3 linked regions of the Alligator mississippiensis genome follow. The protein of the gene in region 3 purifies or fractionates together with the protein of the main gene of each other region. This does not show direct contact. Links are inferred from orthologs where the notes say so. Each region holds a gene or a part of one and is shown on either strand. Other genes may lie near its edges.

Region 1 (9,745 bases), on a different chromosome or scaffold from region 3:
AAAAAGAGATTTTTTTCACAATAAGCTCCACACTTGCTCACATCAGCTACCTACCGAAGCCTACTCACTTGCAAGAATAACATACATCAAGTCATACACCAAAAAAAGTTGCTTCCATAGCTCACTGGACTGTGGCAACTGAATCTGACCTTCAGTTCCACATGTATACACTCTGGAATTGTTTCCAAACCCTATTTGGAGACATTTTTTTAAGTTAGGGAATGAATGCTAGTGAGAGCTGCAAGAGTCTCTCTCACTCCAAAATAGATAGTATAATGAGCTATCTATAATTATATTTTTTACTTTTATCAGATACTGATCCTAAGCAATATGAAACATTAAGGAAAAACCAAGGCAAAATGCCTATTAAGATTTATTTTTACTATACAAAAATTCATTTAATGTGAAGAAAGCTCAAAATTTTACTCGTAGTAAAATACTGTACCTAAACAGACTAACAGAAATACAGTTAATTCAGCATGCTACCTTTAACACGGCTATAAGGCAAGAAGCACTAACAAAATTTTGCTAAGGAGATAACTAGATAATTTTATGCCACTGCTTTTGCTTGAGAAGATCTTTTAAAATGTGCATGGATTCAAAGTTTGTGAAACAAGCACAAGAGTCAACTGCCAATTAAATTATTAGAAAGGATCCTCTACAAGAGAAAATGAAACAGAAGAAAAGGAAAAGGGGATACAGAGTTTACTTGAGCATTTTGAAGGCTGTGCATCCACAGCTGTGTTCAGATAATACACCAATGCTCAAGGGAAGAAAAACAAGTGATTTCATAAAATTAGACATTGCACCAATGAAGAGTTATTTAAGATTCTGCTTTTAGTTTAAACCATTGAAAATCACCAGATTCCCCATTTTCATTTTTGTGCATATACATGTAGACACATGCAAGAATATTAAAACTAGCCAAAAACAACAAAAATCCCTTCAGACAACACCCCCCTTGCTAAGTCCATTAAAATTGTTTATATGTATGCTACATTGAACATAGTACTAGCTAATTTTGTGATGGCTCATGCTAAATGCTATCATTCGCATATGAATCTGTAGGACACTACAAAATAATTTGTTTAAAAATTGTGTTATTTTATAGGAGCCTTTGAAATTAATCAAAGTAAATGGAAATATTACAATGTATAAACTCAAAAGTGTTTGAGAGGGAAGGATTTCTTGGGGTGATATCCTTCATTGCATTAACTATGTAGTTGAAAAAGTTGAGACAAGCTTTCAAATGCAACACAAATGTCATAGGCACAGAGATCCCACAAACATCTTACATGCAAAAGCTTGTCTAACTTTATCCCAGCTACGTTTGGTCTAACGAAAGATGTCATGGTCAGAAATCTTTGCCTCTTGAACACTTTTGTGCTGTTACAAAGTAATATTTCCAATTACGTAGGTTAATTTCAAAGGGATCTGCTGTCAAAGGTTGCTACAAAAGGACAAAATTCTCAAATTGTTTTATAGCATCCAACAAGCTCCTACACAAATGACCATGTTTACAAATGTCTTACATTCAAAATCCTGTCTAACTTTATCCCAGTGACACAGTTGGTCCAATGAAAGATACCACCCTAAGAAATTATGCGTCTGGCATAACACATTATGCCTGTGGCATCACTTCTGGACCATCACAGCTATAATATCACTCTTACCCTACCACAAGTGTTAACATTTATTTAAAATGAAGCCAACATGCATAAACGCAACGCGTAATGGCAACAAGGTAGTCAGCTGAGAAGCTGCAAGTGGAAGCAAACAAACTGCCGCAGGCTGTGCTGCGTTTCAGTCCTTCTAGCCAAGCAGAAAACAAGCAGACAGCCCAGAAGAGGAGGATTTTGAGGAGCTCATGCTGAAGACAACTAAGCACGGGCCTGCTTCTGCCAACACCAGCTCGGCTTTACCACCAGGAACAGTTCAGCTGCTTTCCAACAGACGCGCTCCCGCCAGCCCAGCACAGCCCGTGCCAGTCTCTTCTCTCCAGTTTAGGCCCCGAACCTGAAGCGACTGCGGCAAGACGCCCATCACGAGAGGGGAAAGCCTCGGGAACCGGCCTGGGGAAGCCAGGCCTTTCTGCTCTTCGGCTGTCTTAGCAGAGGGGAAAGAAAGCAGCAGTGGAGCCAGGGTCCAGAGTCCCCCCACCCCAGCTTAATACTACCCGCAATTTCCACCAGGATCCCTGCAACCTCTGCTGTCCTAATGCAGCCGCAGCCCCAGACCCAGCCCCGCGCGAGGGAGAACAAGGCAGGAGCGCCGGAGCCGTCTCGGGCGCTGGAAGCCCCTGTCCCAGCCCCCGGGGAAGAGGCAGTCGAACCCGCTGGGAAGGCTGCTGGAAAAGCTGCAGCGGGGCTTCCCCTCCTCGTCCCGCCCCTACCCCGGCGGGGACCCGCTCTCCATGGCGGGCAGCGCCGCCGCAGCCCGAGCCCGCTCCGCTGCCGGCCCGGAGCAGACCACGCGACCACCACTGACCACGTCCCCCTGCAGCTCCCCCCCGAGCGGCGGTGGTACAGCCGCCAGGGGCGGCTCCGGGCACGCGCAGGACCCCCGTGCTCCCCACGCCCGCCAATGGCATCGCCCCGCGGCACCGGGAAAGGCGGGGCGTGATGACACGCGGGGCGGCTCCGAACGCGCTCCCACCGGCCAGCCCCGCGTGCGGCCCCTTTAAGACGCCGCTCGGCGTTGTTAGGCAACCAGGTTACAACAGAAACCGTTGCTGGGGCCTGCGACAGCCCTCCCCGTCGCCCCCGCGAGACGCAGGCCCCCCGCCTCCCCAACGCCCCGTACCCAGAGCCCGGCGGCCCTGGGGCAGACCGCGCCGCCACCTCACCGGGGGAAGGGACGCAGGGGCCGCCGCGGCGACACTCAGCGGCTCCGCGCGAGCTCACAGACGCAAGCTCCGGCCGCCGCGCGCCTCGCTTCCCGCCTCGCCGGCCGCGGGCACTGACGGCGGGAGCGGCCCGCAGCGCCCCCTGCCGCCTGGGAGCCCCGCGCCGCAGCCTGAGCCGGACGCCAGCCCTCCCACGAGCCCCCAGGTCCGCACACGGGTAGTGCCCCCGCTCCCACGCCGGGATCCCCAACACGCCCCAGCCCGACTGTGTGAGACCCCCCCCCCCTTCCCTGCGCGCACTGCCGGATCGGATCCCCGCGCACCTGGCCGCCCAGCCGCAGGCCGGGCTCACACCCCCGCTGGCTTTAACGTAGGAAAGTCCTGCAAAGTCAGGAAGAAAAGTGTTTTTTAAAAAAAGCAGGGAGATCATCTGGTGTCGCGTTTCTCTGGTGGCTTCCTATTAGGTCACCCCTCTCTAGCCCAGGATGGAGGCCTAGAATCGCAGACTGGAGCAGCAAAATCACAACAATGACACTGCTAGTCACAGAGTGTTTTTAAGTCACTGTTTTCCATCCTAGGAGCGCTGTTACAAAAGTCATTTGCTGGGGCAGCAGACATGCACATCCATCCAGGAGCCTAACCTTGTTAAGTGTTCCCTTCAGAACAGCCTGCGCTTCTCTCATGGACGTTTTTCTAGCAAATATTGCTTCCATGTTTCTTGGCAGATGGAGGAGACTCCCCTCAACCTTCTCCCCCTTTTGTCCAGTGTTGTGTCTCTTCTTATCTCAGGGGCCCAACACATTACAAATAGGATGCAGGAACAATGTAATGTGAATGTCACAGATAAATACGCCTGAGGAAGGCTGTGGCGCCTAAAAGCTTTCAGAGAAAGATCATTTTGTTGCGATTTCGTAGTTGGTCTAATAAAAGGTCACCTCTCAACCAAAAGTTCTAGAGTTTTGCATTTCTTTTTGTCTCAGACCAATGCAGCTACCAAATACATCCCTGAAACATGGAAGATGCTGAATTTTAGCTAATTTTGTATTTAAGGTTCATTGCTAAACAACAAGAAAGATTTCTACAGCTCCCTGCCTGCCATCTGGCAGCACCAGGGAAGGAATCCTGCCTGATCTGCACATCAAAGAGCAACTCAAAAGACACTCAGAGGAACAGACTTCCACCTTCCGTTTCCTCTGTGCAAAAGTAAAGTTTATTTTCTACCTACGGGGACTTTTTACCATCATTAATTTTCCCTGAGCCTGAGGAAGGGCATGTGTGCCCAACAGCTTGCAGAAAAAAGAATTTTTTTTGGTTTTTTTGCAATTTCTTAGTTGGTCTAATAAAAAGTATCATCTCTGAGCCAAGAGTTCTAGAGTTTTGCATTTCATAGATAAATATACAAAATCCAACTGACGCTCCTCCTCCCTTGTTGTTTTACAGCTGTAGGTCCTGGCCTACCGACTGAATCTCTCCAGGTGAAACCCGTAGGGAGCAAGACATCCACCAGCTCCCAAGTGGGTACAGTTGTGAGGCTGGGGCCTCATGTAGGGGCACTGTAGGCTCCTGCTCCTGTGTACCTCAGACTTGCTCACACCTCACTGACTTCATCCCGGCACACGGTTCCACCCCAAGGGATCCCATGACAGGGCCCACCCAGAAATGACATGGTCTTTACCTAAAAAGCCTTTTATTTCGATGCGATACAGTCCTGAATCCTAGAAAATTAGGATTGGAAGGCACCTCAGGAGGTCATCTAGTCTAAATCCCTGCTTAGAGCACGACCGTCCCCAACTACATTATCCCAGCCATTGGTAATGTGTAGCAGGTCCACATGGGTGCATGCGCACCCCCTGAGATTGGTGGCTGCTGCTGACACTGCTGGCGGCATCTGTGGGCAGTCGCAACTCAGCACTCGCCACCCCCACACCTGGCCGCCGACACTGCTGTGTCCGCCTGCGGGCGGTCCCCGCTCACTGCTGCCATGCCCCTGCCGCTGCCTGTGGGAAGTGGCCATGCTCCCCACCAGCCTCAGGAGGCAGGAGGCATTCATGATCCCAACCAAGGCTTTGATGAGCTGGGCCTTAAATCCTCCAAGGATGGAGGTGGCACCACCACCTCTCTAGGTGACCTGTCCCAGTGCTTCACCACCCTGAAGAAAGTTTTCCCTAATATCCAAATTAAATGTGCACGAGCAGAGCAGTAAAAGATGGTGATGACATGCATATTAAAGGAAGAATTTAAATTAGGATCTCCATCCCACAAAGCAAGTGTGCATTCCCGTGGTCTGCCTGCAGCACAAAAGCCTTGGGCTCGGCTACCGTCCTCTGTGCCAGGGGGAGCCCGCCAAAGTCCTACAGGGTGGTCAGGGGCTGCGCTCGAGGCCCAGAGCTGGGACCAGAAGGATCAGGGTCAGGAAATGTAAGCTCAGAAGCAGCTCCAGTAGTGCGGCGGAGCGAGGGCGTTAGACAGATCCTCGCCGCGCTGACTAGGGTGATTTAGTGGGCGCTGGTCCTGCTCCTAGCAGGGGGCTGGCCTAGACAGACCCCCGAGGTCCCCCCAGCCCCGTCCTCTCGCCGCCGGCACTCCCGCGGTGCCCCGGCGGGCTCGCTAGGGGGCGCGCGCAAGAGCCAGTGTCAGGCCCTGCGGCCCGTACCATTCCGCGTCCCCCCCCCCCCCCGCGCCCGGTAGCCATTTTCCACTTTCTCCGCCGCGCCGCGTCCTGCCCCCTTACCCCCGGGCCGCGGTGGTGGGCGCGGCGGCCGCTCGGGCATGGCGACGGCCGGGGGTGCTGGCGGCGGCGCGTCAGGGAGCGGCGGCGGGATGGCGCAGAAGACGTGGGAGCTGGCGAACAACATGCAGGAGGCGCAGAGCATCGACGAGATCTACAAGTACGACCGCAAGCAGCAGCAGGAGATCCTGGCGGCCAAGCCCTGGACCAAGGAGTGAGCGCGGGGCCGGGGGTGGGGGCTGGGCCTGGGCTGCCCCGCTCGGGGGGCGGCGGAGGCCCCTGGCCGGGCCGGGCCAGGCTAGGCTGAGGTGAGCTGAGCTGGGCGGGCCGGTCGCGTGCCGTTGCAGCCACCACTACTTCAAGTACTGCAAGATCTCGGCGCTGGCGCTGCTGAAGATGGTGATGCACGCACGCTCGGGCGGCAACCTGGAGGTGATGGGGCTGATGCTGGGCAAGGTGGACGGCGAGACCATGATCATTATGGACAGCTTCGCCCTGCCCGTGGAGGGCACTGAGACGCGTGTCAACGCGCAGGCGGCTGCCTACGAGTACATGGCGGCCTACATCGAGAACGCCAAGCAGGTGCGGGCCCATGCGGGGTAGGGTTGCCAGGCCTCCAGGGTTAGAGAAACATTTCCAGGAGACTGCTGAGAGTTACCTGGGAGATAAATGATAGGACATTTGTTAAAATAAATGTTAAATGTTGGATCTGATTTATACGGTAGTCTAGTGGGTTTTTAAAATGTAATAGTAATGTGCATTTGTTTTCCCAACGTAAAGTCATTAATATCATTATATCATGTGATGAAACCTCCCAGAATAGATTCAAACAGTTGGCAGCCCTAGCACAGGTCCCTGCTTGGTCCAGGCACCTCACACCTGCCTCACGTGTTGTTTCTTATCGGGGAAGAGGAGAGGGGTTGATGCTCCTTCCTGCTTGAGTTCAAACCGACTCCCCTTGGCACTGCCCCCCGCAGCACAGAGTGGGGTTTCAGCAGCAGGGAAGGGTAAGGGAGCAGGTTTCTTCCCAAATTGGCCGTACCTGCATTGTGCAGACCTGAATTTTGACATTTAAAAACAAAGAGCAGAAACATCTCACAGATGCAGCACGCTTTCTCCCCTCCTCACCCCTCATTTCCTAAATCCCTCTGGAAATGCGCTTTATTCTGTAACCACACCTAAACCCTTTGCAAAAGGTGAAAAAAGGAGGAGTATGTGGTGGTCAGTGCTGCTTCAGGGTAACTCTAATTTGTGAAGGTTTACTATGCAAAATGCTTGGGGTGGGAAGAAAGGAGTGATAATTGTGAAATGCCCCCCTCCATCCCTAAAAATGTCATGAATTTTTATGTAGGCCCTGATCCTGCACTGGACTCTGCACAGGCAGACAGGACTGGGCCTTTAATGTCTGGTAGATTCACAAAGGAAATTGACAGACAAGGTTCCTTGGGTGAATTTGATATCTTTTATTAGACCAAAGGAAATTGATACACTTATGCATCTCCTGTTACTTGATTGATGGTCCTGTACAGCAGAATGAGCAAGAGGGACATTCTGAAATTTTAAGGCCCATTCTGCCTTGAGTTACCATTGCTGAATAGTACCATTGCTTTTCTATGGCTAACCATCTCTCTCTGCTCTAATTGGACAGATGTTAACCTCTGCAGGATTCAGCTGAAGTCAGTGGACTCCCCTCTAGTGTCAGAAACCAACCAGGCAAAGATAGCAAGATCAAGGAATTATTAATCCTAATCACATTTGCACTCTGACTGTTTAGTTATAGATGTCAGTGCAGATTTTGAATCGGGATGAATTATAACATGAGAAAAGACCAAACACAGTAGAAGTTGGTTTTGTTAAAAGATATAGACTTGTTTTGCTTATTAGGGCTGTTTTGGTCCTTTGTCCTGATTTAAGCAGGTGATTTTGAATTTTCTCTTAATACAGTTATATCCACAATATATGGAAAAATACCTGAGATGTACTAGTATAATGCTATAATATTTCACTAGGTTGAAGTTATAAACGCTAATTTGAAAATGGTAGTGTTGGAGTGAGGTTGTAGTTATTATGGTCCAGGAAATGAGAGATTCCAACTGTGTCCCTGACCCAAAGAAGGATGTCATGCATTTGGAAGCTTGTTTAAATCTATCCTAACTGTGCAGTTGGTCCAGTAAAAGAGAGATCACCCACAAAAATCCTTGCTTTGTGCTTTCATTTGAAAATCATATTTCCATCTCAAAATTAGTACCTACTCTTCAGTTATAATAATTTTAGGGATAACTTGTGACAGTGTTTCCCAGAACGTGTTTTGCCCTGTTTCTGTTTTGTGCACATTTGCATAGAATCATTTTTCCCATTTTGTTGATCACTTTTGTTGTCTCATGCATTAGCACAATGACTTCATCCTTGTACAGTGCTCTAGTGAGCGTTCACATTCTGACTTTTTCACAGGCCTTGAGAGAAGAATTATTGCCAGTAACAGAATGTTAAATTGTTTATTTTGTTAATACTAGGTAGCAAGTTGTTGGTGTTCTGTTAAGTGAACATTTTGGAAATGACTTCGATTTTGGTTCATCGTTTTTTGTGCACAGGAATGAAAATGCACAAAAAAGTGTTAGTGTTCTGTTTCTAGCTGTTCAACACGTAAACATTAAAAAAAAAAAGTTCTTTTATTTTAAGCCTTTAGACTTTTACCTTCTGCAAAAGTCATTTGTTTAGCATCCATTGACTTCATTAGATACAGCATCTTATCTCTTGCATGTTCTGTCTTCCATTATTGTTTTAAGGATTTTTAATTGCTTGTTATGGTGTACATTTGACAAAATTGATTGCATGGTATGAATCCAAAAGATTATATCTTAGATGATGTATGGAGGAGCAAAGTAGCTGATGATTGCCAAGTATCAAGATATACCTTTCATTGTAGTCATGAGCTGTACTACGACTTTCTTAAAAAATATATTGCAAAATAAGGCTCAAGTTTTTTACTGACAATTCTACACCAAGTTTAAAGAAACAGTAAGTAGATACGTTACAGGGAAGGAAAAATATCTGCAGTATGTGAAAAGTCCAAAAGAGGGCAGCTGAAACTTTAATTTTATGTGGAGACGTTAACAATACACCTTCTTTTCCTTCACGTTTGTTAGGTTGGTCGTCTAGAAAATGCAATTGGCTGGTATCACAGTCACCCTGGCTATGGCTGCTGGCTTTCAGGGATTGATGTCAGTACTCAGATGCTTAATCAGCAATTTCAGGAACCTTTTGTAGCAGTGGTTGTAAGTATTAGATGTTAACTGAGCACTTGGTAAACTGATAACATGATGCAATAATTAGACTTCATTTATGTTTATGTTGAGTTTTCTTACTGTCAGCTAACCTGCTAATGCTATCTTACTTTGTTTTATGGAGGGATAATATTCAAGCTTCAGTTCGGTATTTTCCCTTGTCGAGTTTTTTGGCTATCTGCATGGCCAAGATGATGGTAAAAAACAGCTGTTTCATTGGTCTTAACATTTGCTGTATGCTTTATAAACTGGAGATGTGGCTTCCCTCCTTTTGACCCAATAGCCTTATGACTAGGGCATCTATCTAGGGACTTGGAGATTCATGTTCTAGGCTCTCCGCAGCCAAGGGATGGGATTTAGATCTACATCTCACACTTCCCACAAAGGTGTAGGATAAACAGGGCTAAGAGCATCTTGCTATCCTACTTCTTGAAGCTTGGTCTGTTGGGCAGCCAAGAGGGGCGATTTGTGAAGCCACAAAGAAGGCAAGCCGGGAGGAGCCTACATTTTCATAGATTCATAGATGTTAGGGTCGGAAGGGACCTCAATAGATCATCAAGTCCGACCCCCTGCATAAGCAGGAAAGAGTGCTGGGTCTAGATGACCCCAGCTAGATACTCATCTAACCTCCTCTTGAAGACCCCCAGGGTAGGGGAGAGCACCACCTCCCTTGGGAGCCCGTTCCAGACCTTGGCCACTCGAACTGTGAAGAAGTTCTTCCTAATGTCCAGTCTAAATCTGCTCTCTGCTAGCTTGTGGCCATTGTTTCTTGTAACCCCCGGGGGCGCCTTGGTGAATAAATCCTCACCAATTCCCTTCTGTGCCCCCGTGATGAACTTATAGGCAGCCACAAGGTTGCCTCTCAACCTTCTCTTGCGGAGGCTGAAA
Region 2 (10,035 bases), on a different chromosome or scaffold from region 3:
AATTTGTGTTCCCTCTTTAAATGGGAAAACTGAAACCAGAGAGAGGTTTTGTCCCCACCCCCATACGAGTGGTGGCTACCAGGTCTGGAAGGATCCATCTGGAAGGATCCCAGCATAAAGAAGGGAACTGAGAATTTGCACACCCCCCCCCCCTTGTCACACTCTGAATGACCCAAGTACAATATATGGTTGGTAAACTACTGGTCAGCATCACCGAGGCCACAGCTCTTCAGGACAAGGTGCAGCCCAGCTCCAGTTGGACACAAGGTTCCCTGATGCTGAATGCAAGTTTCCACTCCCAGCTGAGCTAGCGGATTCCCCCATTCAGTGCTGTGAAAGCTGGCACAGTCCATAAGCAAGGGGGGCGGAATTAGACAGTTTTGCTAGTCCCCTTATTCTGCACAATGGTAGTAACCACTGCCCAGTGGGGAGGAGAGATGACGCTGATGCTGCTTCATACAATCCATGGCTACTCCATCTGCAGAGAGAAGGGGGTGGGGAAGAGACACTCCTAACTGCTGCTGACTCTCCAGACAGTCCCCTCCACCCCTTCTTTCCAGCCAATGTATGTGGTTATGCCTGCTCCTCCCACCCCAACTCCATTCTGGATAATGGTAGCAACTGGCACCTGAAAAAGACAAGGAGGGTGTTATACACCTACTATAAAAACAGACCCCCCCACCTTCTGTGTAACAGTATCTACCAGCAGCACCAACAGAAAAGGAAGTGGGGGTGGGGGGACACAACACTGATCTCCCAAATTGCTCAACATCCCTTTTCTGTGCAATGGTAGAAGCCTGTAACTGGGAGACATCATCTGCAAGGTGGAAGGGAAGGAGGATGCATAGCATGGATGCTGGTTTAAGAGAGAGTGTGCAGGTATCCTGTGCAACGGCAGCCAAAACAGTCCTGGGAGGGAGAGAAGGCAACGCGGTGCTGATGGAGGGGCACTTGGCCATTCCCTGGCTCTGGCAGCCTAGTCCCAAGGCTGTGTGGGGCTGTCCCTGTGCCCCAGCTGCCCCTCCCCAGGGTTACACGCTGATGGTGCGGAAGATGTTGAAGCCGGATAGGGCGGTAGTGATGAGGACACCAGGGCACTGCGGGTGCCAGTGCAGTTCCTTGATGTCGGTCTCGCCCTGGTGCACGAATAGCAGCTGCGGGGGGATGAAGGCCAAGGCCGGGTCATCACTCTCCCCCTCAGCCTCTTGGTCCCGCTCCACAGCCAGATCCCATTGTGTCACCTGGTTGTCAGCCCCTGCAGCTGCCAGCACCCCACTGTCCGTGGGGTGCCACTCCACTGAGGTGATAGGTGCTGTGTGCTGCTTGAATGTGGCCACGCTGGTGCCTTTCTGCAGAAGGAAGAGGGGGAGGGTGAGAGAGGCAGGGGGAGGCCAGGGCTGGGCTGATGTGGTCTGTGGGTTAGGAGAGAGGCAAGGCTTGGGGAAGGTCAGGGCTGGGTTGGCATGGGGCTGCGGGTCAGGAATGAGGGACACCATGCTGACCTGGAACTGGCGCAGGTCCCAGATGCGGATGGTGCCATCATCGCCGCCACTGACAATGAAAGGCTCGTGGCGGTTCCAGCTGATCACGTTGACATCACTGTCATGGGCCTGGCTGGCTGTCAGCATGCAGGCCTGGCTTGGTGCTGCCCGCACATCCCAGATTCGCACTGAGGCGTCGGCCGAACATGAGGCAAACACCTAGGCAGAGTGCAAGGAGTGAGGGGCACCGCATAGCCCACCTCCCTGGACCATCCAGCCTGGTCTTCCACTCCTTTCCCTGCCCCCAGGCCAATTTAACTGAGTATCCTGCCCCAGCTCAGTCCCACAGGCTGTTCACCCTGGTCTCACCAGTGCTTTAGGTTAAGGTCCCTGCTTACTGTGGCTTCAGTGGGTGACCACTGCAGGTCCTCTACAGAGGCCATGTGGGCAGTGAAAGGGCGCTGGTCCACATGCCATGTCCCACCCTCCTTGGGCATCCATAAGTGAATGTTCTTGTTGCAGTCACCTGTGAGGAGACGACCTAAAAAACAGAAGAGGTGGTGGCTACAGCTCTGTAGATGCCCCTCACTGGGTTTCCCCAGCTCTGCCAGTGCTCCACACTCCCAACCTGTGGCCCCTGCTCACCTGCCACTTTAGGAGACCAGTCCAGGGCAAACCCTTCAGTCATATGTCCTGCAAAGGAGAAGAGAGGCTTGATCTTTGCCTGCTCCTCCCGCAGAAAAGTGACCATGGTCTGTGGGTCGGACAGGGCCGCCAGGGGACACTTCAGGTCATAGATTTCCACTTGGCCCTTCTCAGACCACACAGCCGCTATGTGGGCGCTGCCCAGTGAGGTCACCTGCCAAGAATAAAAGAGTTAACTGTGGCTGGGACAGCTAGAGGGAGGGCACATGTGGGGTAGGGAGTCAGCAATACCCTGACACGGTTGATGCCTCCATAGTGGGGGACCATGGCCAGTTCCAGCTGGGGTTTCTTATCCTCCTCCTCCTCTTCTTCACTCTCACTGCTTTCGGACTCAGAGGCAACCTTCCGTGTGCCATGAAGGTTGTGCATCTTCATCACCAGCAGCCTGCCCACAGGAGAGGGACTTGCTGAGGCTACAGACACCCAGGAAACACAGTCGCCAACCAACTCCCAGGGGTGGGGAGGTGGCAGGGACCTTTCTTTTCCAGGTGGCTCCCACCTTGGGCCAACCCTGGGGCAGCAGCACTGGCTGGTGCACAGAGTGGAAATGGGGTGGGCAGCCTATTGTCTCCAGGGGCTGCTGCCCCTGATCCAGGCCTCACCCCCTCCCCCATGCACAGTGCCCTGGATGTGCAATAAGTTCTGCTGAGTCCCAGCCCAGTATCCCAGCTCCAACCCCTGCCCCCTGGCTGGGCGCAGGAGGGTATGTGGGTTGGAGCCAATTCTGGCACTGGTTCCTCCACACCCCCGGGCCTGACCTGTTGGCCTGGGCGGTCTCAGCCTGTGTGCCGGCACAGAGCAGTAGGGACAGGGGGAAGCAGTCACGCCCCTCGCCCAGCGTGTCCCGCACCACGTCAAAGCTCAGGCAAGGGGCACCTATGGGAGGGAAGGAGAGATGGGGTCAGCTCCGAGGCCAGCTCTGCCCCACCGCCTTGGGGCCGTGACTCCCAACCAGCTCTGCCCCCTCTGCCCTAGGGCCCCATTGACCCTCAACCCCTCACCTCCAGGACCTCGGCCCTGTCCTGCCCCTTTTCCCCAGGCCCCGCCCCCACGTGATAAGTCCCTCCCCCAGGCCCTGCCCGCTCGTGCCTAGCCCCGCTCTGTACCGGTGCCCGCGCGCTGGTAGAGCACATAGGCCTCTTCGTCCATGACCAGCTCCTCGCTCTGCCCCGGCGGTGGCGCGCGGCCCGGCACATACACGCGCTGCGCGGGCGCCTGCGGCTCGCCGTCCCCCTCCATCTCCTCCGTGCTGCTGCTGTCGCCGTCCCCATTGTCGTCGCTGAGCCACGCTGGGTCCGCCATCGCAGCACAGGTCAACGCTACTTCCGGGCAGGCGTCGTCTGCCCCACTTCCGCCCTCATGCCGGAAGGCGCGGAGGCGCCATCTTGAGAAGGGGCAGCGTCCGCCATGTTGCGGATGGAACCAGACAACCGCGGCTTGCGTGTTTGAATAGGACTGGGAAAGGGGCGGCCGCCATCTTACAAGTGGGCAATAGCTGTCTGTTCTGCCGCCATTTTGAAATAGGTACTGGCCAGAGGCCCTGGAGAAAAGCTTGGCCGTGGGGCCACCATCTTTGAAAAGGGAAATGAGAAGTGGCCGCCATCCTGACTACGGGAAAGGGTGGCCGAGCGCCATTTTGGGAAATGTAGTCTTCAGGCATCCCTAGACGCCATCTTTACTACGGGCAGGTGTGGTTCCGTGGAAAGCCACCATATTAGAGGGAGCCTCTCCTGCCCTCTAGTCATCGCCATAGCAACAAGAAAGTTTCAATGGTACCATTGCCAAGAAGCAATTAATAGAAGTCAGTGGCATTGCTGTAGCAACAGGAGGCAATGGGTAACATAAAAAGGTTCCTGGGCGACATCATCAGGGCTGGGTTCATGGGGAGGGGGTTGCCTGGTGATGTCAACCCAGGGCTTGATGTCATCACTTGGGGCCAAGTGCCTTTGCTGCCCCTGTTGACATCATCAGCATCCCAGGCTCTCCCAGGGCTCCTGCAGCCCCCTCTGGTTTCCATAGCAACCTGATGGGGATTTATTGACTTCCCCTTCCAAAGTGTGGGCAGAGCCCCCTCCCTGCCCTGCTGGACTCCCCACCAGCCCATACTGTGCTCTGCCCAATACAGGGTCCCATCAGAGCCCCCTGCCCTGCAGCTCAGCACCCAGAAGACTGGGCCTGGGGGCATCCCTGGCTGCCCGCCCTCCTGAGACCCTGCCAGTCCCTGCAGCCTGCACCAGCCCCGCCAAGCACTAAGTGACGTGAGCAATGGGCTCCCTGCAGCGGGCACTTCACGGCTCGTGCACCCAGTCCCCATTACGGGGTCGACCCCTGCGCTTGGCTGAGCACAGTGAATTTCACAGCACAGCGGCTGCAGCTGGAGGCCTTCGGGCCGTTCTCACTTAGGGATTTATGGGCCCTGCAAGAAGGCAGGGAAACACCAGGGAAAGGCTCCCTCCATGCCAGGGCTGAGCTGGGCTGGGAACAATGCAGCACAGTTTCCTCCACCGGGACCCCTGCTATGCCCCCAGCATAAGGCTCCCTGCAGACTCCCTCCCAAGCACAGCACCCAGGCTGAATCCCCCAGCACAGCACCTCCTAGTGGCCCCTGAGGACAGATTCCCCCGCCTACACCCCCCCCAGCAGTGCTCCCACTGCTCCCCCACTGAGCCACTCTAGCAGGGTGTTCTCCAAAGCACCCCGTGCTGAGCTCCCTGGCACCCCCATCCCTGGGCTGCCTGCTGAGAGTGCTCCTGCTGGGATCCCTGTGCCTCTAATGAGCCCTCACCCCCCATCCCCCCAGCCTCACGCTTTGCTGTGGCCCCTGCCCCAGTCCTTACCTCAGAGCTCTGTTCGTGCTGGTCTATCAGGGGGTTGTGGGTCAGCTGGGCTGGGCGGGGGGGGGGGGGGGGGGTCCTGGGGTGGTGGTGGTGGGGCAGAGGACTGGATTGGCAGAAGAGGCTGTTTGGGGGGAGTCCTGGGCTGCAGGATGACCTGAGAGTGGTCATTGCAGGGACTGTCCACCAGGTGTCGCTGGTGATGCACAAATGCCCCTGTCTGGGCAGAGGAGGGGCAGCTCAGTGCCCAGGTGGGCACAGGGAACACAGGGCTGGGGCAGGGCAGAAAGGCCTGGCAGGGCAGAAAGACCTTTGGACAGCCCCAGGGAGGCACTAGTTGGGAGAGGAGAGGGCCTTCCCAAGGGGCTACTCCTTCAGCATGCCCCTTCCCCCAGGCCTGGTCCCCCCCCAGCCCTGCCACTGCCCTTGTATCCAAGCTGGCGGTGTCTGCAGCAGTGCGGGGATGAAGGCATCAGGCTCCCAGGAGCTTGAACTTGTATAAACAAGCTCTACCCTATTCCATCCCCCCAACCCCAGCCTTAGCTCTGAGAGTTCAGCTAAATGCAGCAGCCGGTTCCGTCTCCACGGACTGCAGGTCTTTGGAGCTCATGCATAGCCCACACACAGCCAGGGCCCACAGAGACCCCTCAGCCCTGCCAGGGCTGGCATCTACAGGTGAAGAAACCTCACCTTGCTGCTACCCCTGCCAGGCAAAGGGGGCAGCACCCCCTACGGAGGACCCCTGCATTGCCAGCCCTGGGGTCCCTTCTAAGAGCCACTCTGCTGGAAGACCCCCCAATCTCCCTCCTGGGTGCACTGGTCCTAGCAGGACTTCAATGAGATGCCTGTCTGTGGGCTCTCTGGGGAGGGGCTGAGAGGAGGCTGATCTGTTGGGCTTATGTGAGGGCAGGTCAGCTGAAATGGACGGCTCTGTGGGGGGCAGAGAGCAACTGAGAAGGGCAGAGGAGGAGGCTAGTTGCAGGGGAAGGAGAGGCAGACATGGGGGTGGCTGGCAAAGGTAACCCCACACCAAAACTTTTGCATTGCCCCCCCCCCCCCCCCAGCCCTGCCTGTGCTCCCCCCCCAATCCTATCCCCATCCCTTGCTGGCTCAGCCCAGGCTCCCTGCCATGGCTGTGCCTGGTTCCTTGAGCTGTGCTTACAGCACGGTGCCCCCTGGCACCAGTCTGGGGACCTGGGCCCCTCCTGCCCCCCCCCCCCCGCCCCCCAGCAGAATACGAGGAGGGGGCTGGGGGCATCAGGTCTCCTCCTGGGGTTATGTCCCTGCACTGCCCGAGGGATGACTGACCGACATGCAGGAATGGGGGAAGGGTGGGGAATTGGACCCTACAGGGGGTGGGTGGTGGGGGATGTGTTACCTGCTTTCTTTGCAGTCCCCAAGTGGGCCCCTAACACTAGCTCTGTCCTTGGTGCTTGCCAGCCCCCTGTTGAATCAGCATCTTGCTCTACCTGCTCCACTCCCAGGGGTCACGGTCAAGCAAGGGCAGCCCCTACCCTGCCAGAGCTCTGGGGGAACAGCGCAGAGGCCTGTGGGGTCTGGGAATGGAGCCTATGTGTGACCCAGGGGGGTCCCAAAGCAGCCCTGCCCACAATGGTACCAGACCTGGCAGTGCCCCTCACCCATGCCCCGCAGCTCACGCCCCTCCACTGCCCTTTCATGCCGTGCTTCAGAAGTGTGTTTAGCATAAACACCCCTTGGGGTTGTAACTCCTGATCAAATCTTTGCCTTAAACCAAGCATCGCTGCCGGCAGCGGGGCTGGGACTGCGTTGTGTCAGCCTAGATTCAAGTGAAGAAGAAATGAAGGTGAAAGGCAGAGACACAGACAAGCACCACCTGCCTGGGACATGAGGCAGATGGCCAGGCCCCTCCAGGGGGCGCTGGACCCGATCCGGCCCCAGGGAAGGGGCACAGGCTGGGGCAGGGGGTGGGGACAAGGCAGGGGGACCAGTTTCCTGCAGGGGTTTTACCTTTGGTACAAGATGGCCCCATCCATCCATCTGCCCGTCCATTGATCCCTGCATCCGTCCGTCTGTCCGTCTGTCCGTCCGTCCGTCCGTCCGTCCGTCCGTCCATCCATCCATCCGTCCATCCATCCATCCATCCATCCATCTCCAAACCTCGCCTGTCCCTGAATCTGTCAGTTATTCCTCCCCCCTCCCCCCAGCCTGCTCTCTTCCTCATTTATCTCCTGCTCACTCCTTACCTGTCTGCCTCCCCCCTGCATCTGTCCATCTGTCCGTCCATCCGTCCATCCATCCATCCATCCATCCATCCATCCAGTCTGGCTCTGCCAGCTGTCATCCTGCCCTCCGCCCCCCTGCCTTCTTCTCAGCCTTCTCTCTCCCTCCACACCTATTGCATCCCCATCTCACCAGCACCCATCACCGCCCCCCCCCCCCCCCAATCTACCTCTCCCTCCTGGTCGGCCCTGCTCTGTCTTGACAGTTTGAGGCTGCAAGACGCTGTGTTCCTCCAGCTCCGAGACCAGAAACCACTCAGCTCCTACCTCAGTGCTGAGACACCTCCCATGCTGGGTAAGGGGAACACTCCTGACACACCCTGCCCCAGAGCCAGACACATTTCAGCACTGGGTGAAGGGGCCATGTATAAGCAGGTTCCAACATGCTCCACCCCAGAGCCAGTTGCATCTCAGGGTTGGGCATGGGGCCCCTGTATAACTGGCCTGTGCGCTCCCCACTGCGGCTACACACTAAACACACACAGGCCTGTCCTGCTCCCAGGGTGGGTTGAGCTCCTGAAGAGTCTCTGCCCTGCTGGGGAAGAACCTGAAAACCCAGGAATCTCCCATGGCTGATGAGGGCATTGTGAACCCAGACCAGGAGCTGGGCTGGCCGGAGGCTATAGGCTAGGAGTTGGGAGCACTGGCAGAGTTGGGGGTGGGGAACCAGGGTTCCCAGGTTCTCTCCCCAGGTGTGGGGTTTGGTGCATTAGAGCTGGGAATCAGGACACCTGGGGTCTCTCCTGGCTTATGGAAGGGTGTGGGGTCTGGGAGGTGGCTGGGAGCTCCGCTGCCTGGGTTCTCCCCCTGCCTGGCCTGGTGGCTGCTTGTCGCCTTCCCCAGCAGCCGTGCTCAGTGATGGATTCTCCCTAACCATCTGCTCAGCTTGTTAGGCTGGTAATGAACAAGTAATTACCCACCGCGTGTGCCCAGGGCCAGGCTGGCAGCAGACACAGTTCTGCAAGAGGTCAGACCCCCGGCTGGGGGCTTCCTAGAGCCAAGGTGGCCTCTGAGACAGGGGCATGGGTTGGGGGCATTTTCCTTTTGGGGGGCACTGGACCCCATCCAGCCTTAGCATGGGGCACTGGCTGGCTCAGGGGGTTGGAGGGGCCAAGGGCCTGTCCCTAAGGGGTGTTGGTCCTTCACTAGCAGGTACCATAAAGCTCACTGTGCATTACCTGGCTGTGGTGAGTTTGCAGGGTCTCAGTCCTGCCACACAGCTCCCCACAGGGCCTGCCTTGCCCCACTCCGTGCAGAGACACTGAGAAGTGGCCACCCCATGGTGAACACCGCATCCCAGTGGCTGGAGAGGGTTGCCCTGTGGTGGGGGCTGTGGCCTCTCCCTATCCCCTCCCGGTCTGTTACCCTGCCAACTGGACGTGACACCAGAGTCCTTGAGTTCCTGGCAATTTATTATTCATTAAGAGACAGGCGCGAGATCACCTTGGAGCAGGACTGTGGTGGTGGTGTGGGGGGGAATCATTGCCGGGATAGGCTTGGGATGGGAGAGACAGGAAGCTGTATGGGAGGGGATGGACAGGCACACAGGCAAGTAGTGCCTATGGCACAGGCAGCCAGCCAGTGCCCCCACCCAGGGGGGCGGATTGGGGCCCCTTGGACAGGACTGAGCCCTGCCCCAGAGGCTGTCTGAGGGGCATGGGGTCAGGGCATGCATGTCCGGCAGAGCTCTGGGGCATGGGGGAGTCACCACGCACTGCCACCCCCTGCTGGGAGTAAGTCTGCACCTTTCCCAGGCGTGGCCCCAGCCCCCATTAGGCTGATGTCATAATTGGGAATGAACGTTGCTCTCCAGAGTGGTGCGGGGGAGGGGCTGCCAGCACTGCAGCCCCCGGGGGACCCCAAAGTCACCTTCCTCCCAGGGCCTCGAGCAGTCGGTGCAGACTGGCAAGGAGCAAATGCACACAGAGACACTTGCACACCCTGTGCCAGCCCACTGGGCCCCACTGCCCCCAAGCTGCAGAGAACCCAGGAGTTCTGGCTTCTGGCCTCTCTGGTCCAGCACACCAGACCCCCACTCCTCTTCCAGAGCTGAGGGAGAATGCTTCCTGGCTCCTAACCCGCCTCCCCTTGCACTAACTCACCAGTCCTCACTCTTCCACCCCACAGCTGGGACAGAACCCAGGAGTCCTGGCTCCCAGTCCCTCTCACTGGCATGCAGAACTATCCAGAGGTTAGGAGCTGTCCCCTGCTTAATGCAGTTGGGGATTGAGCAGGACATGGGAGGGCCCAGGTAGGACTGTGGATGCCTAGATGGTCTCTGGGAGAGGGGTCTCCTGCAGCTGCACAAAGCTGTCACACTGCCCTCGTCCCCAGCCTGTGGCCAACTGTCGTTACAGGCACCTCTGTCTGGGAGTGACAGCAAAACAAACACCCAGGCCCTGCGGCGCTTGATTTATGGTTTCATCTTGCCGACGTTCCCTTGGCCGGCACTGTGCCAGCACCCCCCCCCCCCCCCCCAACAGGGTGACATTGAGTTACCAGCTCAGCAACGCTGCAGGCTGTACACAGCAGGGAAGACAACCAGCAGGGGGCACCACGGGGCAGGGAGCAGGTTGGGGCATGGGCAGGGCACTAGGTGGGGCTGTACTGTCAGTGACTGGGCAGGGGCAGGGCAGGGGTTGCCAGGCAGAGGGGAGCCAGGCAGGGACTCGGGGGGGGGTGGGGGAAGGTGCTGTGTGGAGGGGGGACCCAGCAGGAGGCACCATGCTGGGTGTTGCAGGGGGCTTGGCTGGG
Region 3 (9,811 bases):
AATGAAGCTAGTTCTTTGACAACTGTATGACTGATATTCGGAGCTAAAACAACTGCATGTACATATATAGGCCTTTGTAATGTTTGCTCCTCTATCAACTTACAAAAAAAAGAAAGAAAAACATCTAGTCATTTACTATTAATCAGCACAGTTCAAGGACTCTACCATGAATACCAGCAATTTAGACTGGCAGGGACTAGATATGCAGCAGAGAGAGAGAGTACTTACAATCCATGATATAAATTTGCTTTTGTAGTGTTTAACAGAGATCCTTATGGAAAATATCGATCAAGATAGATGAGGATGCTCAAAGATCTCAACGTCTTTTAGGCAAGATTGTGGTGATACCTTAAGGTCTCAAAATTATCAGGAACTATAGGAGAAACGGAACTAGTTGACAAATACTTATATTTTCAAAATTCTAATTCAAGTGATTATCTTTGTTCCAGTGAAAACACTGCAGGGTGGGGAAGAAAGGGAAAGAAGGCTGGGGAGGAAGTTATATCGGTCACTTCTAGAGCTTCATCAGGCCAAGTGTGAACAAGCTTCTAAAGACAAATCTTTTCTGCATTTTTCCCCTTGGATAAAATCAAAATGTAAAACTAATATTTGCTGTTAATTAATATTTTTCTCCAGTGTTGGAGATATTCCATCATTATGCCAGAACTTAAACTCAAAAGCAAATCTAACCAGAAATGAGACCAGCTCACTTTTTACTGTTTGAGTGAAGTGAAAGGGATGCTTATATCCAAAAACTGGCAAAAAGCAATTTTTCCAGTTATTCAGTTGGTCTAATAAAAGATATCATATTTACCTGAATAATCTTGTCTGCCTAAGACTTAACAGTCAATTGGAAAAAGGTATTGTTTTAAAAAAAGAAATCAAACATTACTAGCATCTCAGATAAGGTCAAACTTACTTCCTCAACATGAAAGGCTGAAGAAGGGCAGTCACAAAACTGATACATTTTATATATACTAGTTTGCCAGGTGGGAGCCAACATGGCAGTTCATAATAGGCAACTAAAATCCACAGCAATTAAAAAAAGTTGTAAAAAGCCACTGCCTAAATTTCACTACTTTAGATAAGAAAGCCATGGTTGAAAGTCAGTTTCTCAGGATCATGCCTTAATCTAATATTCTGAGTCTGCAAGTGAATAAGGAATGCATGTGGCAGTAGGGTAAGTGGAAGAACACTTCCTCATGTCACTGGGAAAACCAGCGTTACAATCTAATCCATGTATGTTGTAGGGTATCTATAACAAGCCCCATATAAATTGGGGCTCGTTATAGATACCTTACAACATACTGGAACAGTGGAGTTACCAGACTCCCCCCTCCCTGCCTCAAATACCAATAAAATACTAGCATTACTTAGGATTAAAAAAAAAAAAAGTTATGTAAATCAGTATTTTTCAACATGAATAAAGGAAATGGAATAGGGAAGGAAGCTTCTGAATTAGTGCAAAGTGTCAGAGAGAAGCAGCGAAGAGAACTACATGAACCCTGGATTTGCCCAAGTTTTGACATAAATAACAGACAGCAGCTCAAAAGCTATGCATGTTCCCTGCCTACTCCAGGAAGTAAACCATAAAGTAGCTATTAAACGGAGTAGCTCAGGTTCAAGCAACATGGTATCCAAAGCTTTGGTATCTGCTCAGTCACAACACTTCCTGGCCTCATTCAACAACCCAAACTCATGCAGGAAGATCAGCAGGTACCCCCCCCCCTTTTTTTTTGGGGGGGGGGGAGGAGGCAGAATAAAGAGGGGGAAAAATGGAAAAGGAAAGAAAAGAAAAAAGAGTCAAGATAGGTGAAGAAGAGAAGACATAAAAGTAATGGGTCACAGATAATGCCAGGAAAATGTGTAGCAGGATGCTCAGCGTCAATCCACAAAGTGCTCAAGCATTAAATATCAATAATCATTTTAAAATCTAAATTAATTTCAAACTTAACAAATGGAAAGACACCAGGCAGAAGAGGCTATTTTCAAGTGGCTACCCTGTGCTATGAGCTATTAGATGACCTGGACTAAATTACTGTTGTGACTTGAGTCAGGATTACTTCAAAGGCAATATCAAATACGGCCATTCTGAATAAAGGCAATTAAAAAACAACCTCACACCAGAAGACGTTTCTTAAATGCCCACAACAAAGTCTGTCCTTCACAGGTACACTGAGAGCGTCCAAAAAACAATCCTAAGTGACATAAATCTCCAAGTGCGTATGCAGTGTCATAAATCCCATACTATAAAAAAAGATGACTTTCCCCTTTTTCTACACGCGCTCGGGGGGTCACCACCAAAGAATATTTCCAGTAGAACTTATACCTATTTACAAGCCCAGTGGATAGCTGTCATATAGACATAAAATACAAGCAGTGTGTCAACTCTTCACATTATGGCCTGTTACCTTTAAAGTTCTTGATCACTAACTTCTTGGCAGAGCCAGGTTTACTATTGGCGAAACTGGAAACAGTAGAGGAGGCAGCTTTGGTCAGACCATTCGCATGGTGCCCAACGGCCACTGAAGAAATTAAAAGGCTTTTATTTTTGAGCTGCTGCTGGTGCTGCTGCTGAGAAGAGGCGGCGGGAGAAGAGGAAGAGGAAGACTCTTCAGCCATCTTCACATCGAGTCCAATAAAATCCAAGGAGTCCTCAAAGCGCAGCTTCTTCTGTAGGTGATGGTTGGTGGAGGCACCCCCTGAGGAGGAGCAGGAAGAGGTGGTGATGATGGAGGAAGATGAGGATGAGGAGCTGTTTTTGGAAGGAGAGGAGGAGCAGGAGGAAAGGGAATCAAACTCTTCTCTCTCCGAGTTGTTGCTGCTGCTGTTTAACTTTCTCTTCTTGCAGGAGGAGGAGGAGCTGCTGCTGCTGCTACTACCATCAGTGGCAGGTCTGACCTCCTGAGCTGCTGCTGGGGGGTTGGGGGAAGAGAAACCTGTGGGAAACATGAACACACAGAGGTGAGCAGGCTGAGGGGCATCAAATCCTGGTGGTAGGACAGACCAAGAGAGAGAGTCCGAGTCCGTTTCGGGGCTGCCGGATCAAGAGTCTCTCAGCTCCTCTCTCTCTCTCTCCCCCGGGATGTCGGGTCGTCCGGTCTCCCGTCTCGTCGGCTTCCTTCCTTCTCAGGGGAGCCCCTGACGGCCTCTCGCCCCCTTCCCCCTGCTCCTTTGTCTCCGCTCAGTAGTCGCTGGCAGCCTCCTGCCCCCACTCCTCTCGCAGGGCCTCGCTCTCCCCGTCTCTCTCCGCCCGCTAGCGCCTCCCAACCCTCCTGTCCAGGCCCAGCCTCAGCCGTCGCGGGGGGCTCCTAACTGCTGCCCTCTCCGCCTCCGTCTCCTGCCCCTTTCTCCGCAGGGAAGGCGCCCGTGGACGCTGCCGGCTGCCCCCCGCCCCAGCCGGCGCTCTCCAGCCTGCTCTCGCCTCTCTCCCTCCTCCCCCCTCTCTGCCTCCTGCTCTGTCCGGGAGGGGGGACCGGATCGGGACTTGTTATTGTCAATACAAGGCAGAGAGGGGCCCTAAAGATGGCGGCACATCCGGCCGCGGGGCATGCCGGGACACCGCGGCCCGGAAGCGCTCCCCCACCCGGAGCGGCGGCGGCGGCGGAGGGCTCGCCTGCCCCAGCTCGGGCCAGGAGAAGCGCAGCAGCCGCCCTCCCGCCCGCTCCCCACCCCCCGCGGGGCCCCGCGCCGCCCGGCCCCGCTCGCCGCCGCCTCCTGCGGCCCCCCCTTCCGCTCCCCTCTGACCCACCGGAAGTGATCATGGTGCCGGCGGCTCGCGCCGGGCGCCGGGACGGCTCGTTGTGCCCCGCGCTGCGGCGTGCGCACGTCGGGCGGTGGGGGGCGTGGCCACGGCCCCTCCGCGTGTGGGGGCGGGGCTTGGGGCGGCTCCGGGTTGAGCCCCGCGGGTTTCCGTAGCCAGGGAGGGGTGGGTCTCCCTGGAGGGGGCGGGGCGCCCGGTGTTGCCTCCCTGGCACGAGCAGAGCCGCGCTGTTGGACGCAGCTGCTTAGTGCGGCGCGACAGGCACCCTGGGGTTTCTTTTTTATTTATTTTTTTAAATTTAATTTGTAGCCGAGGCCAAATTAGCCAAAACTAATTCCAACTCCATGAGTCCAGACCCATAAGTGGCCCTGCGCCTGGCAAATATCCTCCACCCGCACCTGGGGCTTCCGATGTTTCCAAAAGCTTTGGCGGGCGTCCCACGTGCGGGCCCGTTGGGGTCCGGATGCCCCCGAGCTCTGCTTGCCCTCAGCCGTAAGGCCCTGGGAGCAAGCGAGAGAGGAGCCGGAGCCTGAGCCTCCTCCTGGGTTTGCTGCCAGCGCTTTCTTATGAAAGAAAGAAGCACTTCAGCTTGGGTGACCCTGGTCTCGCTCGCTCGCTCGCTCGCTGGAGTTACGGCTGAGCAACGTCAAGTAAAACTTGTGTGCCTATTTTTTTTTTTTTTTAGCATGCAATTATTTTTCAGCAAATACAGTAATTTGGTGCTTCCAATACGACCGCTTCCTATTTAAGCCGGGGCAGCGCTGTTGCAGCCCTTCCACGCGCCGCCTCGTTTATGGCGGAGCGCGGCGGTGGTGGTTTAACCCTGCACGTCGCAGAGGCGGAAGGTGGGGGGCTGCCCTCGTGTAGGTGAGCTCAGCACCCTGGGTGTCTAGAGCAGTGTTTCCCAACCTTTTCCAGCTCAAGGCACGCTTATATTAATAAAACTTTCCCGTGGAACACCTGTTAAGGCATTCCCTATCCTTACATCTATTGTGGCTTGTTGCCGTGGCAACAGCCTGTGGCACACCTGTTCGTTTCTGACGGCACACTTTTGTGCCGCGGCCCGCTGGTTGGGAAACACTGGTTTAGAGAGACGGGGAGCATAAGCTGCCTGAGCCCAAGTTCATGGGCATCTGCTCACCTTGAGGTCAGGACAGCAGGTGCTCTCCTGTCTACAGACGTCTCAGAGGAGCAGGACTGCCTGCCTTCTGCCTGATGCCAGGCTAACACAGCGACCTGCTCTCTCTGCCCCTGCCTGTCTTCCAGCAGTGGTGCCCCGCCTTCCCCCCCCTTGGGCTGGATGGCTGGGGCTCAGGCCATGGGCTGGATCCAGCCTGTGAGCCCGATACAGCATGTGGGCCCGCTCTTGGCCTGGCTCCCAATCCAGCCACAGGGAGGGAGTGTGGGGGGCCCCACAGGCCGGATGCCCCAGCTCCATGGGCTGCGTTTGGCCCGTAGGCTGGAGGTTGAGCACCCTGTTTTACGTGCTTTAAGACTGATATACCTCTTGCACCTGTTGTCCCCCAGAGACTAGATTTCTGGGGTCCTCGGTTTGTTCTTTCATCATTAGCCTGCTCGCTCCTTCAAAAAGAAACTAATGCACAGAAACTAGTGAGTTATTTAAACGGGGATGTTGAACCTGCTCTGAAACCCTGACTGAAGTCTGGAACGTGCTTCCTTCTTGGAAGGGAAGAGTTTTTGTTTTCCCCTAGCAAATATCAGCTAGGTTATTTTTGAGAGGTTTGCAATATTTGCATTAGGCTGAAACTGAGCAAACATTAGTCAAAATAAGACTGGCTTTTTTGGAGTTCTGAATCGGAACGGTTTGTGTCGGGAGGAGGGGAATTATAGATCCCTTTTAAACACCTTTTTGTGACGCTTGTGTATTTTTATCATCACAAAAAGAATCGCACAAGTACGCTGTTCCGCTTCAATAAGGACTCACAGTTATCTATGGGCAAAGGAACAAAACAAGCTGTTGGCGTTATTGAAGTCGGTTGGTGCAGGAATTCTCAAAGGACTGCTGATGGGAGCTTCCACCTGCCTTTTTGACAGCAGAGCTCTTTCAGGGGAGATTGCTGGCAGCTGTATCTTGATAGGAAACCCTGTGTTAACTTGTCTTGACAGAAATTGTGGCTCATAGAGACATAAAGTCATTTTACTGAAGCTTTTTTTGGAATATGTTTTCTGTTTGAGCAATAGCGAGGGCTCTTGAGACATGACACTGAACTGCACTGATGTGCAGAAAAATAACTTATGAATGCTTTCTCCAGGTGCAGTGTATTTTCAATTTTGTTCTCTGCTGAATTTAGAACAGGATGAGTGGATGAATGCAAAATTACAAGTAATGTAATAAGAACGGTAAAGTGTATTTGCTTGTATTATCCTTAATCTTTTTTAGTTTAATAGCTCAGCCTTCATCAGTTTGCATTTCAGTGTTTTGCTTCTCTTCAAGTTCTCTAAAGGTTTTAAATCATTTATAATTTAGAATCTGATCCTGGGAGTTAAGAGTGCAAAAGTTGTTTGGTAGAGGGCCTCTACTCCTTATATTAATCACTATTCCTAGCTGTACATTTTTTTAGTATTTGAATAAATGATGATATTTATAAAACTTTCATTATGTTAAGTATTAGTTTCTAGTTATTTTTACAGTGTTACAATTATCTAAGTCATTGTGCTTGGAAAAATGGCATGAATGATCGTTCAATCCTGTATTTTTCACTGAAATTAGTGTAAAACTCCCACTGGCTTTAGTAGAAAAGAGATTTCTACACACATACATTTTCTTTCTCTAGCAATTAGCTCTATGAAGATAAAACTTATGCATGTCTTTTCTATTCAAACCAGATAAAATAATATATCAATTAGATCCATCTTTATCCAGTCTATGGCTTGATACTGCATTAACCATTAATAAATGCTATAAAACATAATTATCTTCACCAGAACCCATTCCCCCTTCTGGCAGCTGGATCTTCCTGGGAGGTCATAGATGATCCGCTCCTCCTCCACCTGCCAGGATCCTGCAGGGAAGTCCGGGATACCCTTCTCTCACCTGTGGCACCAAGATCTCTTCCTCTGCCCGGCTCCCTATCTGGGTCAGCACCCGCTTTCCGAGAAACGGATCTTTTTTCGCCAGGTAGCAGACAGGGCATTGGTCTGGGGTTAGAAATTTGGGAAAAGAGAGCTTGTGTTTTGACTATATTTGAGGACAGTTGTGTCTTTTCTCCCTGTTTCAGGATTTATTGTTCAACACAGATTAGTAATTATTACCCCTTTTATTTCTTTTTGAAGGACTATTTTTTTTTGAAAGTGGAATAACACGCAAGAAAGCAGTGCTGTGTCTGCAACTAACAAACGAGCAATGTTTCTGAGAACATAATAAAGGTATTGTTGTACCATAGCCGTAACATTTCATCCGAGGTAATTGCTAAATACAGTAACACTGGGTCACTTTCCAGTCCAGTCCTCATCTGTTTTCAGATGTTAGCAAAGAGTAAGTAAAAAAAAAACCACCAAGAGAACTCTGTATATACCTTATTTGATACATGATTACAAACAATAAAATAGGATTCATTTAATGTTTGAATGATAAGTAAATTTGAAAAATGACTTAAAATTTAAACTAAAGATGGTTCTTGAGAGACTCGGATATATTATACCAGGACAAAATCTGGTCCCTGCCAGAACATATGACTTGCCATATTAGATCAGACTAGCGGTTCATTTATTGACATTAAGTTGCTTTAGAGAAAATGATGCGATTTAGTACAGTTATGGATTTAACCTGCTTACAGGGACTCTTTCATCCTAACTCCTCTCCTGTAGAAGTTATTTAGTCCTTGTAGAATTTAAAATTTTTTTTTTGCTATTGTAACCATATCTTGATCTGTATAAATGTCAAGGTCATTTGAAGCTCTTGGCTTCTATGATACCTCATGGTAATGCGTTCCATGGACAAATAGTATATTGTATTAAAAATATTTTTATCCATTTTAAGTCTTCTCACTTCAGAGTCCAGGGGATGACTCCTTGTCTTTGTATTACGAGAGAGAATGAATGAATGGTTTGATTTAGTACTCTCATATTAATAATTACTTAGTATCACTGTCTCTTATTTTTCTCCTCTAAAGTAAACAGCCTCCATCTTATCTAGTGGTATATTTTTAACATATGTTGGGGCAGCACGCAGAGCCTCAGTTAAAAAATAATCATGCAGCATTAATTTAGGGCAAAGTTTCCTTTTGGAAAAGGAAAATCTAAGAATAATACCTTACTTAATAGAGCTATTCCCTGTGTGTATTCAGGTTGTACCTTGCTGGCTTTGGCTACTGTTAGAGAACCAGAGCAGCTCAGAGGGAATAAGCAGGATTCTGTTAATTCTTGAACATCATCAGTAGAATTAGTGACTGAATTCCAATCAGTTACAGCTGTGCAGAAATATTGAGGCAAAGTACAAACTATTTAGGGGAAAAATGACTACAAGAAGCAATAAAAATGACTAGATGGACTGACTTCTGAGAGAGCGAAGAGCCTCACCTCACAGGAAAAGGCCTTAATGGAGCGAAATGCATGTCGTGAAAGTATGTGATGACTGAGGGACATGAGAGAACCACTTTCTACAAATATGTTAATAATGTAAAGGAGAGAAAATAGTTATTAAGGTGATATACAATTGCATTTTGTTACCTAAGAATTTTGAGATGGAATTTAGAAAGGGAAGATTACTAAGTCCATAAGATGCATTAGCCTATAGACTAATTGATTTTTAATGGCACTAATTGAAATTCTGTCTCCCAATTTGTTCAGAATGAAAAAAGTCCTACTAGAAATGCACTCTAGGGAGACAGGCTATAGGTCTTTCACATTCAAGCTACTATGCAGTTAGTTTAATGAGAGAAATTAATTCTTTAACCAGTTCATTTACTGACCTATGGAAACTATGATTAAACTTTTGCTTTAGACCTCTTCAGACTTTAGGGAGCTTTGTCATGTGAATAAAATCCATATTGATGGCTTTTCCAATAAGGAGAATGTGATTGATAAATACAGGAAGGTTGCATGACCTGGCTCCCTGGCTACTAGTATTTCTGATTGGCTCCAGTCTCTTCTGTTACCCGTGTCTCTTATGAACTTGAATCTGGTCTCCTTAAATCTTACATTGCATTTTATTGTTGTGGAAGAAGGGAAAAATGGAGTTGAATCTCCATTATATGTAAGAATAAATAAAAAAACATATACCCAGCTTGGCTATGAGGAAGTCAAAAGGGCATGACCCAAAACTGCCAGACTAACACAAAATGGGGACCATCCTGCCCTGGTCTAGTAAAAAAACAAAAGCTTAGCACAAAAGTAACCACAAACCAGCCTGCTGAGTCAGCCCAAAATGGGAACTGAACCCTAAGTTACAAGTTAGACAAGAGATAGTAAAATTTTTGCTAACATAATCATAACATAAGACATGCGCTTTACTAACAAAGTCATGACAAATGCTGATTGGTATATGTTGTTGCTATGCTTATGATGTCATATTTTCTATATGAACTCGCCTCACCTGTTGTACAAGGTCAGACCTCTTCACAGTTCTCCAGTTGTGTATGAGTCTGTCCAGAATGCATTCTTTAACAAACCAAGCTTCTGCTGACCTGATCTAAAGTTTGCTGAGTGTGTTTACCACGATGTTGTGATACACAATATAAAGAAGGATTGGGTGTTGGGTAAAAAATTAGTTCAGTCTAGAATATTGGGAACCTCGCTGACACTTACTTTAGCCTCCTATGTAACAGCACTTGTTGTTAAAGAACTTGTTGATGAGGTTTTTGTTGAAGAAAAATGTTGCTTGCTGTTAGTCCAGATCCTTATTATATCACTCCTTGGCAACAGCAGACTCAGAGAACGAATCTTCAGCTAGACCATAGCTCATACTGTAATCCAAATGTACTTCCAATTTCTTAAATTCTAGGGTCTCTCTTTTCACACACAGACTTCTAGATCAGATCAAAGCCCTATAACTGCCATTCTAGTACTCTACAAAGATGTAAACTTTTA

Evidence for each region. Proteins that work in one complex are often made in the same cells at the same time.
Region 1: the proteins of CUL4B (region 3) and COPS5 purify together in Homo sapiens (affinity purification with mass spectrometry; 12 studies listed by BioGRID and IntAct, counting the BioPlex papers as one, with this or other methods). This does not show direct contact. The link is inferred for Alligator mississippiensis from reciprocal best matches to the Homo sapiens genes CUL4B and COPS5.
Region 2: the proteins of CUL4B (region 3) and GRWD1 purify together in Homo sapiens (co-immunoprecipitation; 4 studies listed by BioGRID and IntAct, with this or other methods). This does not show direct contact. The link is inferred for Alligator mississippiensis from reciprocal best matches to the Homo sapiens genes CUL4B and GRWD1.

Annotation. Positions count from the first base shown.
Region 1 is NC_081826.1:63,773,258-63,783,002, forward strand, and holds the start of COPS5 (COP9 signalosome complex subunit 5), read left to right. Parts: upstream 1-5,537; 5' UTR 5,538-5,614; coding exon 5,615-5,787; intron 5,788-5,920; coding exon 5,921-6,155; intron 6,156-8,719; coding exon 8,720-8,848; intron 8,849-9,745. UniProt on the Homo sapiens protein: Probable protease subunit of the COP9 signalosome complex (CSN), a complex involved in various cellular and developmental processes.
Region 2 is NC_081828.1:38,509,005-38,519,039, forward strand, and holds the start of GRWD1 (glutamate-rich WD repeat-containing protein 1), read right to left. Parts: upstream 4,209-10,035; 5' UTR 3,489-4,208; coding exon 3,293-3,488; intron 3,063-3,292; coding exon 2,945-3,062; intron 2,572-2,944; coding exon 2,418-2,571; intron 2,341-2,417; coding exon 2,127-2,340; intron 2,023-2,126; coding exon 1,880-2,022; intron 1,701-1,879; coding exon 1,503-1,700; intron 1,350-1,502; coding exon 1,032-1,349; 3' UTR 1-1,031. UniProt on the Homo sapiens protein: Histone binding-protein that regulates chromatin dynamics and minichromosome maintenance (MCM) loading at replication origins, possibly by promoting chromatin openness.
Region 3 is NC_081831.1:72,374,723-72,384,533, reverse strand, and holds the start of CUL4B (cullin-4B), read right to left. Parts: upstream 3,854-9,811; 5' UTR 3,765-3,853; coding exon 3,752-3,764; intron 2,940-3,751; coding exon 2,412-2,939; intron 1-2,411.